Drosophila melanogaster: one gene and its partners. The protein of the gene in region 1 interacts with the protein of each later gene in a biochemical or structural test. Each region holds a gene or a part of one and is shown on either strand. Other genes may lie near its edges. The genes, in order: ProtB, dhd and P32.

The links.
Region 2: of the proteins of ProtB (region 1) and dhd, one has a biochemical effect on the other in vitro, tested with the Drosophila melanogaster proteins (one study listed by BioGRID).
Region 3: of the proteins of ProtB (region 1) and P32, one has a biochemical effect on the other in vitro, tested with the Drosophila melanogaster proteins (one study listed by BioGRID).

Annotation. Positions count from the first base shown.
Region 1 is NT_033779.5:14,881,493-14,885,539, forward strand, and holds ProtB (protamine B), read right to left. Parts: upstream 2,230-4,047; 5' UTR 2,110-2,229; intron 1,217-2,109; 5' UTR 1,196-1,216; coding exon 815-1,195; intron 766-814; coding exon 712-765; 3' UTR 609-711; downstream 1-608.
Region 2 is NC_004354.4:5,310,218-5,313,663, forward strand, and holds dhd (deadhead), read left to right. Parts: upstream 1-1,953; 5' UTR 1,954-2,242; coding exon 2,243-2,566; 3' UTR 2,567-2,905; downstream 2,906-3,446. Other genes in the region: snf (sans fille), read left to right, coding at 1-212; TrxT (thioredoxin T), read right to left, coding at 1,021-1,494; CG4198 (uncharacterized protein), read left to right, coding at 3,216-3,446. UniProt on the Drosophila melanogaster protein: Participates in various redox reactions through the reversible oxidation of its active center dithiol to a disulfide and catalyzes dithiol-disulfide exchange reactions. As a reducing substrate of peroxiredoxin 1, thioredoxin 2 is preferred over thioredoxin 1.
Region 3 is NT_033778.4:17,670,770-17,674,284, forward strand, and holds P32 (P32), read right to left. Parts: upstream 1,872-3,515; 5' UTR 1,766-1,871; coding exon 1,561-1,765; intron 1,441-1,560; coding exon 1,096-1,440; intron 1,038-1,095; coding exon 796-1,037; 3' UTR 540-795; downstream 1-539. Other genes in the region: IBIN (induced by infection), read left to right, coding at 331-456.

The DNA of each region.
Region 1 (4,047 bases):
TCGTTTTATTTCACTTACCTTTATAAAGTTTTTTTTTTTAAACCAAATTTTTGTCACAACTAATTTTTAAGAAGAGCATAAAAATAAGACTTTTGGAAAAATTTTGCTTGTGAACTGTTTGTGTACCAAGTTACAACTAATGTTTAAAAAAACCGACTGCCCGGTATAAGGGGTATACGGCAAAACCTACGCCAACTATATGGAATAAAGTTAGATTTGATCGAAACGACGCCGGCGGATACGCATCCTGGGAAACATCCTTCTGTTAGGTGGTTACGCCCCCATGTTTCCCTTTGCCAGTGGCAGTGTGGCAAGTTTTCCTCATAGGTGGCATAAATTATGTGAAACAATTTTTGGGTATTTCGATTGTCTCACAACAGACGCCTGGTCAGAGAACTGTGGAAAAGCTTGAAGCAGAAGCCTATCCATATCTTCGAATTCACCATTGCCGTGCCCATTTACCACTCAGCCGTTTCATTTCTTTGGATCACAGCTCATTAGAAAGCTCATATAGTGGAATAATAAATTGAATTTCGCCGGGCACCTGGAACAACCACAAATACCCATTCGCGCTATTCCAACATCCTAGAATCGTAAAAAAAATGAAACCCGGTTTTTAATTTTTTTTATTTCTAAATTCATCGAATGGTATCAAATCAATGAAAATATATGCCTGGACTTAACTGCATCAGACTTTTTCCTATCTCAGTATTACTTGCAAATCCGTCGGCGCTTGTGGCGTTCACTGGTGGTGACCTTGCATGCCTGAAAGGACAAATTAATAGTCTTCATAATATAAAAAAAAAATACGTACCATCCGGCGGTATCTATCCTTTCTATGCTCCGGGAGCTCGGCCCACGCTTTAGCGGCCTCTGCAATTAATTCCTGCGGCTTCAAGTCACAGTGCTTCTTTCGGAAGAAACGCACGAAATTCAAATAGGCGTTGTTAGTGACAGGTCCCTGCTTGCTGCACTTCTGACTCGGTGCACACTTGACCTTGGGCCGAGTCGCCTTGGCACAGGCTGCCTTTCGGCGCGGCTTTGCACAGGACTTCATTGGCTTACATTTGGGCGGTGCTCTCCTCTTTGGATGATTACACATTTCAGTGAGACCTTTAGGACTTTCATCTTTTGCAGAAATGGAAATTATGCCATTCCACAGGCTCTTGCACTCATTTACATTATTTGAACTCATCGTAGAAAATTTTTACAAACTCTGAAAAGAAAAGGAAAGGGAAGTTTTATATGGGATTTATTTGTTGTGTACGATGTCAGCCATCAACTGTGATGGAGTATGTTCCCCCCGCATGTGAGTGTTGGCCCCAGAAGCCGCAGAGTTGCGTCCTAGAGAAGTCACTTATTCAGTGAGCAATCCGAGTCTCAAACCAAAAGTAAAGCCCAAGCCCTACCGACCAGGATGAAGACCTGAACAGCAGGAGACAAGCGGTTGCAACTGCAACAAAGCCCATAATTAATAACAGTTGCAATCTGATTCCCGACGTTGTTTTGTAACGAACAAAAAGTTGATCAATCAGGACGTGTAATTTATTTACAATTTCACTCTGACAACGAAAGAAAGAACTAAGAGTTTCTCTTTAGATTAACTGGATCTTTCTTTCGGCCGAACCGCGTGAACCGCTATGATTTATTTAATTGCCCGCGCTTGCTGCCAGTGTTGTTGCAGCATGTAAATAACGTCATTACAAGGCGTGGGGCGTGGCAAGGTGGTTGCCTGTCGACAGACTGCCCCGGCATTAGTTTAAAGCCAGATAGGAGGGCCACATCCATCCGACATCGAGACAAACACGCCGGCCGCCAAAAAGGCGTGGCCGCCGAATTTCCGCTTTGACTTGCAACACTTTGGTGCAACACGCCCCATAACCTTGCAGTCGACATTATTTTAATCGCATCTCAATGAATTTTACAGAACTGAATTTCACAAAAGCTTCTTTAAAAGAGAATTATAAAAGTAAAATTTTTTTTCAAATGAAGTTTATCGAAACTGATTAGCATACCAATAGAAAGTAATTATGCGCTTCGTTTTAAACAATTGATTTGTTGGTATGTTATTTTGTAAAAATAAATCGTAATTCGTTTTATTTCACTTACCCTTATGAAGTTTTTTATAAAAACCAAATTTTTGTCACAACTAATTTTTAAGAAGATCATAAAAATAAGACTATAAATTTTTGGAAAAATTTTGCTTGTGAACTGTTTGTGTACCAAGTTACAACTAATGTTTAAAAAAACCGACTGCCCGGTATAAGGGGTATACGGCAAAACCTACGCCAACTATATGGAATAAAGTTAGATTTGATCGAAACGACGCCGGCGGATACGCATCCTGGGAAACATCCTTCTGTTAGGTGGTTACGCCCCCATGTTTCCATTTGCCAGTGGCAGTGTGGCAAGTTTTCCTCATAGGTGGCATAAATTATGTGAAACAATTTTTATACCCACTATTGCTCGTGCCAAACTCTATGCGGCTTATTAAAATTTCTAGCCGCCGGGCTAACAAACTCGGTGTGGCTAAGAAATTTTGGGCGAAACGTCTTGGGGATTCCGATTGTTTGGACATGTGTGAGGTTTTCTATTATCTGTAAAATGTTATGATTTATTATGTGCGGGCTCAAGTTGATGGTGCGGCCATAAATTGCGACCCTTTGGAGTCTTTGCCTTTGGCTTTGCCTCTGCCGTTGGCTTTGCCGCTTCCTTTTCCGTCGGTTCATCTTTGGTCTCTGCCTTTTCCAGCACCAGTTAAGTCAATTAATTGGCCTTAGATTTATTAGTTTTTACCCCGCTGTTCCTCGCGCCTTTAGCATAGGTGCCGTGATTTATTGTTGCAGGAATGCCAAAACAACAAAGGGAAATTCCTCGGCTTTGACTTTGGCACGCACACAGGGAGAGTAGACAAAGTCCAGGTGACTGAGGAGGTGTGGCATTTGCATATAAATAGATATGTCAGCTAAAATATGAACCACATGAGTCGGGTCCTGTGTACTATATTTTGTTACTTCCGCCTCGCGGCGAAAACGCTTCCATTGCGTGTCGCGATAAATACAAATTTCAAGTTCTCCGTTCTCATTTTCCATTAAATTAGCCTCAGTGTCAAATACTGACACCCAAACTGATGTACCCAGGGGCGGGTAGGACACTCATTGTAGCCTGATGCTACGCTACTGAATTATTAACTGGGTCAAAGTAAGGGCACACATAAAAGTATCAGTGTCCGCATCTTATGAAACAAACTGTCAAGAGGTTGACATTTAGCTCGCAATGATGGGGACATTCGGGTAGCGAAACAAGGCAATTATTTTTGTATTAAGATATTTTAGGGTAAACATTTTTAGAGTGGGCGTGGCAAAAAGTTTTTAAGTAGAAATGCATAAGACTAATAATAATATGAAATATATATATGTGTCTATGTCTCTAGAGCATGTACGTATGCATGTATCTCAACCTTCTAGCTTTTACAGTTCCTGAGACAGTCATGTCCAGTTCGACTCGGCAGTTGATCCTGATCAAGAATATATATACTTTATATGGTCGAAAGTGGTACCTATTTATAAAAATCAGCTTTAAATTTAAAAATCCAATCAATCACAGCAGCCCAAATAGCAATAAATAAGTCGCAAAACGTGAGCGACGGAAAACGAAATGATTTTCATCCAAATCATGTTGACAAATTTGGCTATAGGCCAAAGGGCATCACGTCATCACATGGGCTAAGTCCTCGAATCAAGTGCAAGGAGTCGCATATGTGAGTGCTCGCAATGACGCCCAGATTATCATCGCTGCTGGATGCTGTTTTCCTGCTCCCCGAATGCCCCGTTTGCCATCGGGTTGCCGGTGTAATAACTTAAAATCCCATAATAAAGCTACTTACTGCCTTCGTCGTTGGCGCTGTCCTCGTGGCTCTAACAATAACTATTTTTCTTTGGATTTGGCTGGCGATGTGGCTCGAATTGAGTTCCAGAGGCTTTCTGCCACCGCAAATGTGCAAGTCAAGTGCATACGTCACTGGTTCCATTCAGCAAAGCCATACCT
Region 2 (3,446 bases), on another chromosome or scaffold:
CCAATCTGCCCGAGGAGACCAACGAGATGATGCTGTCCATGCTGTTCAATCAGTTCCCCGGCTTCAAGGAGGTGCGTCTTGTGCCGAATCGTCACGACATCGCCTTTGTGGAGTTCACCACCGAGTTGCAGAGCAATGCCGCCAAGGAGGCGCTGCAGGGCTTCAAGATTACGCCGACGCACGCCATGAAGATAACGTTCGCCAAGAAGTGAACGCAACTCCAGTCGCCGGGCGTTCCAGCAACTCCAATAATAATTTAAACTATAGAATAAATCGATATAAACAAACAAACTACGAGTATTCCATATGCCCATATCCCTCCCATATCCCATTTCGCCCAAAGATCCTTAAAGGCAAAAGTATAGAATAGAATAGTTGATTGTTTATTGTGTAGATCTATTTGTTTGTCTGCAAACTTATAACTAACAGCTAGTAATGCGTATTATTTATGTCGGTCGATTGTACATATTTCCATTTAGTGTATAGTATATGGTGTATAGTAGTATATATATATATATATATAGCGTCCCTTTGCTCAGTCTGCATGGTGTATCAAGCTCGCTGCAAAATCAACATCAGTTTGGTGTGCGGGAGCGTGTGTTGAGTAAGTCCCACAAGTCCTCGGATTCCCAAAATGTTTGCTATATGTAGAATCGTTCAGCGACGTAGTCCTCCTCCGCCGTAACAACATCATCAGGCTTACAATTGTAATGCAATCATCATACTTTAGGCACCACAAATGATGAGTATTATGAGTGTGCATAATAAATCTGGGATAAGTGTGTGTATTATATATATATATATATATATATACATCGATAAGTGTGTGTGTGTGTGTGTGTGTGTGTCTATGTATATATATATATATATATCTATTGCTTTCTTCCGTTACGTCTGTTGAATGATGAGCTGCAGGAGAAGGAGCAGGGAATCGGTTATGTGACCACAATGCTTGCACTCCGGCAATCGTACTTACATACATATGTTGTCGTTATGTTCGGAGTGTAATGGTACTTTTGCCTAGTGCTCCAGAACGGCATTCTCGTCGTGGGCGGACACCTCATTAACGTTGTTGTTGTCGTTGTCGCTTTCACTGGACTCGGCGGTCAGATCGACAATGCATTCGCCATCGATATGGACGGCCTTAACGTCGGCCGCTTCATCGGTATAAACGCCGGCATGCTTCTCCATCAATTTGGCCAGCTTATCGGAATTGCAGCCAACGAAGAGCTCCAGCACATTGCCGCCCTTGATGAACACAAAAGTGGGCATGCTATTCACATTGTATTCGACCGTAATGTCCTCGTTCTCGTCCACGTTCACCTTGAGTACGACGACACGGTCCGAGTACTGCTGCGCCAGTTCGTCCAGCTTGGGTGCTATTATCTTGCAAGGTCCGCACCAGTCTGCATAAAAATCAATTACCACCAGCTTGTCCTCGGCGAGGATTAGCTGCTGGTCAAGATCGTCCTTGTTCCGCACTGGGTACACCATGACTTTAACTAAATTCCAAACGGATTGCAAATCGAAACGAAACAAAAAAAAAAAAAAATGGGAAGAGAAGAAAGAAAAAAAAAAGGAAAATGTTAGAAAATCTTGTTTTGGGTGTAAAATTCACTTGATTTGTTTTGTTACTTTTGAATTTTAATGGAGCTCTGCCCTCGCCGAGATATCAGCCCGAAATGAAAATTGTAGGGCGGCAGGCGTTCTTTTATACAGTTTTCGCCAAATATTTTGCGGCCTTCTTGGATTGAAAAAAAAGTGTTTTCAAATGTCAGCGGCGCGGTGTGTTGAGGTGAGTTTGGCTTCGAACCTACCACGGCTATGGCAACACTCGAGGAAAATATTAGTACTATGTCGTGTGACGCCATTATTTTGCCATAATTACGATAATAATATTCATATCGATATCGATAGACCTGCCGTGGTGAATAAGTATGTTCCCCACCCCCCAACACACTCGGTTGGCTTTCCCAACGACCTGGCAACCCTAACACGCCCGCCATTTTGCACTCTCCATGGGCCGCCATTTTGTTTAGCGGCCACGCGAGAATTCAGCATGCAAATTGGCGGGAATTCCACTCTACACACCGCCACTTGGAGACCCCTATAAAGTCGCCTACGCAGCCGCCATTTCAATCAGTTCACAATTTGCAGCGAAAGCGCCAACAGCCCCATCACGTCAAGTTCTTTAATTTAAAAAAAAGAAGAAAAACACTTTGCTAATCCTCGCGACATAAAAATGGCATCCGTACGCACCATGAACGACTATCACAAGCGCATCGAGGCGGCCGACGACAAGCTAATCGTGCTGGATTTCTATGCGACATGGTGTGGTCCCTGCAAGGAAATGGAGAGCACCGTCAAATCGCTGGCCAGAAAATACTCCAGCAAGGCGGTGGTGCTCAAGATCGATGTGGACAAATTCGAGGAGCTGACGGAGCGCTACAAGGTGCGCAGCATGCCAACGTTTGTCTTTTTGCGCCAAAATCGACGCTTGGCCTCCTTTGCCGGCGCCGACGAGCACAAGCTGACCAACATGATGGCCAAGCTGGTGAAGGCGTAAGCAGCAATCCTGCCCAGCAATTAGCAATCAGCAGCGCATCTTTTTTTTTTTACTTATTTAACTCATCTTTTAAACATGTTCGCCTCATTTGTGTTCGTTTATGTATTCGATGTTATGTGTATGCTCATGTGATGTTTAGCTTGTAAGCGCGAGATGTGGGTAGCAGGAGATGCAGTGCAGCCAACAGCAGTGACCAGATGATATATGCTATGCTACTACTACTACTTATATGCTATGATTTGTGGCGCGGAGGCGTGTCTGCGACACATAATCCCGCCCATTTAGCTTTAAGATTCAGGCACTAAGAAGCAATTCGATCAATAAATTATTGTAACCACTCTGGACATTTAAATGTTAACATGGAATCAGCTTTGTTTTTTTTTTGCCCACAGCATTTGGATTGTTAACCAAGTAGGCGCTGCGTGGTCATGTCATTTCGGGTTCCAGCAACATTTGGCATTTGCTAACCAAACTTGAGATCACACACACGAAAAACAAAAAATCCCAAACATTCCGCAGCACAAATTCAATCAAATCCAAAACGCACATTTCGGTCGCATCCAAATTGTACGGATTTCGTTAGTAAATAAAAATCAAATTTCGTGTAAATCCAATCCATAATCCGTGGTAGAGTAGAAACCACACCATCATGTCGTATCAGATCAAATCGACGCCCTACTTTCGTCGCATGTTCAACGAGAGCAAGAAGAATGGCCAACTGCAGCGTCTGCGTGATGAGTACGAGCGCATCCAGGAGTTCAACGATCGCACCATCGAAATGAAGATGCGACAGGTGCGATTAAAGCGGCTATTTCGCGAGATCGAGGTAATTAAGGTGGCTGGCGGGGCGGCCGGTGGCGCCAGCGGTGGCGGCACATCG
Region 3 (3,515 bases), on another chromosome or scaffold:
GAAGTATATACAAGCCTATGATTAGGTAATGGTCGCAGTTCTTATTATTGGTCGTATAAAAAAAAGCTTTTTAACGAAATATATAAAATCCATCTTAATGACAAAGTATGACATTACATGGCCTCCACGCTGATAATCCTGCTTATTGTGAAACAATAACACATATAGGTCGTACATTAATGGTAAATCCCATCGCCCAATAAACAGATCGGAGTACTTCCCCAAGAGAAAGGTCACTATTTCAACGATAAGGTGAGGCAATCTCACCTATAAAGAGGAGCATTAAAAGCTGCAGCACCACAATCTAAAGTTAACTTGCCGTTAATCAAGATGCAACTGCTGCCAATCCTCGTGCTCCTCGCTCTCCTCATCTGCGCCGCCTGCAAGAACCACGAGGACTGGGGAGGATACCGACCAAGTGACTACGATCCCAGGCCATATTTCCGGCAGTTCTAAATGATCACGAAACTCAACCCACAGGAAAATCTTTACGAAAAATCGATGCAACCATAGAAAGAAAATAAACAAAAAAAAAAACTAGGGAATTAACGTTGTATTTGTTAAAAACCAAAGCGAAGCTGATGCCGAAAAGGGTGAATTATTGGCAACCGTTTCTATAGTTTTATCTGAAACATGTATGAATGTTTTATGGCTTAAAAACTAAGTTTCACTGTCACAGTTAAACCAAAAACACAACTAATAAAAACTGTTTTAGGTGATGAAACTGCGACAGCAGACAATAGAAACTTAAAAACCTACACAACTTTATGCTTTAAGATTAAGTGGGACGAACATTCACTTGCCACCGGCAGTGAATTTGGAGAGCTTTTCCAGCAGACCAATGTAGGAAGTGTGCTCATGGGCAGTGGCTAGGTCCGACAGTTTTTCGGCAAACTCCTGACTGATGCCCTTCTCCTCCAGCAAGTTGATCAGCAAGTCGTACAAGTAACCGTCAAGCACGTCGCCTGCGACGGCGTAGACCTTATCGTTCCACTCGCCCTCGAAGATGGCCATTTCATCAATGGAGAAGACATCGTCTGAAAGGTAAAACCTGTGTTATCGGTGAATCAAAACGATTTCTGTCAAAGTACTCACTGTACTCGCCCTCCTGAGCTTCGCCTTGAAGGAAGCTGCAGGTAAAGGACAGCGTAGAGTTGCCCTTTATGATGTCCACCTCGAACTGGGGCTTGCTTCTCATTTCACCGAGATCCGGCTTGTCAGCATTGGGGTTGATTTCGGGCTCCTCCTCGCTGTCCACCGTATGGTTCACATTGAAGCTGACCACCACCTTTTCCTTATCCGTCTGCTTGGTGAGCTCCACATCGGCGCCGGTCAGTTTTACGGCGAATCCATCCAGGGTGCTTGGCACCGTCTTGCCCTTTTGAACCTTGCGCTCGGCCACTATCTCCTCGGTGAGGAACTCCACCAGTTCCCGCTCACCTGGATATAAACAAAGCGTTTAATTTTCTGTGTTTTGGTCAACATTTCGTCACCCAACGTTTGAGGTTATGTAACCGGCGGCATGGACCGCCCATGTAAGAATTTGTTGAGTTAACTTACATTTGGTGTGCACGTTGCAGCCGCACGTGCAATTAATGCTGGGCTTGTGGAGATTCAACACGGTTACATGATCGGATCCTCCGGCTGTCACCGGCTTTTTGGTCATGTGCCACAGGCTGCGGGTGAAATCGCGCTTGCCGAGAGATCCGGCACTGGAGCTGGCCAGAGCGGCAAATCGCATGGTTGCTGTCCTTAGGCTGTTCATTTTGTTATATAACCGCGACCTGGGCTTTTTACTTTAATTAAACACTGAAATGTGCAACACGCCAAAAGTGTAGTGCCTGGTGTGACCGTTGAATCTTATTCAGAAAATCACGAGGCTGATGTATTGTAGAGCCATATCAGAAGTTATCGATCATTTTTCGGCGCGAAAGGCTTTATCGTAAACTATTCAAATTTTGAAATTAGCCTTTATTGGAAAAATGATTGATTTCAATAAATATAACCAAACCATATTTGCTGTAAAAATTCAATGTTTCATAGATCCGAACCTATTAAAAGACCACATTGAGTTATGAAAAAAATGACGACTTTATTAGATTTACGAATTGCTTATCGGATGTATACAACAATATACACATTACAAGGACATACACAGTAATAAAAACTAAACACCATGAAGGGTTTTCTCTGGTTCTTGATCCTCCGAGTGGAAGACCCATTCCTACGCAATATTATCATGCATGCAATCAGACTCGTTCGTCATATATATCATTGTTTTTCAACCAAAAGGCATATCATTTCATCTTTCTAAAATTTCAATAAAATCTATCACAATATGAGAAATCATTACATTACGTTTTTTTTTGTAAGATTTAAAAATATTTTATATATAGCTTTTATCGGGATTTTCCATTTTTAAGACTTTCTTATGTTAAGATTTAGACATTAGGCGTACATATACGTATAAAAATATATTAATTACGATGAAAATTGCATTTTACACGTTTTAAAAATAAAATTGCCATTGTACATTGTATTTATGCAACTTCTTTAGTGGGACGGACAACAGCTTAGAAATTAAACATAAAATTATTAAAATGCTGATTTACGTTGATTGCCAACCAAGCTCATTATTTCCATCCAAAGCTTACAAGTTTAGCGTTAAGGCCTAGATTCGACACGATTTTATACTATTTATAAGGCTTGCTGTTGTTGCAGTGTTCATTTATTTTCGCTTTCTTGTGCGTTTTTCCATCTGATGATGTGGGGGCTGCGGTGTCAGTTCTTATCAAACAGCCTCATAGAAGTTTTCTTCGTTTCTTAGCCTAGTTCGTACTTTTAATTACATTCTATGTTCAATTCCTTATAGAGCTTATGTTAGATACAATTTTACGCTTTTGTTAGCCACAAAGCATAGAGCTTTAAAGTCTCTGTCGCATTCTGTTAGTTCTCCACAAAACAAACTCATATAGAATAATTAATCATTCAGTCTAACAAAATACTTGTTGAATATTCGATTGAATTTCGAGAAATAATTGGGGCTGGTCCGCTTCGGGTTCGATTTCGGTATGCATGATATGTGATTAAATTTGTACAGCTCTAATATTTGCACTTAAAGATTATACATTAAGAGTACACATAAGGGGCGACACAATCGGGCTGCGTAGCCAAGAGCCGGCACTCCTATTTTGGACAGCAAAGGTCGACGTCAGGGGAATGCGGAATGCTTCGGGTTAGCTCCAGGCTGCGGCAGCCCGCACACTACGTTGTCAATAAATTTAACTAAATTTTGACAAAGAAACTAAGCTTACGCAAATTTTACATCAAATTAAATTACAATACAAGCTAAGTAAAAAAGACGCAACAGCTCTGCTTCCTATCTTTCGGATGCGTTTCAAACGCATCCGAGACTGTCGTTTACATTATTCGCAAATTGGGTGGGGGGTTACTATAACTAACAGCAACATAAACAACGAAAATATGTTTTAGAGTATAGAAATTCGACTAATTTT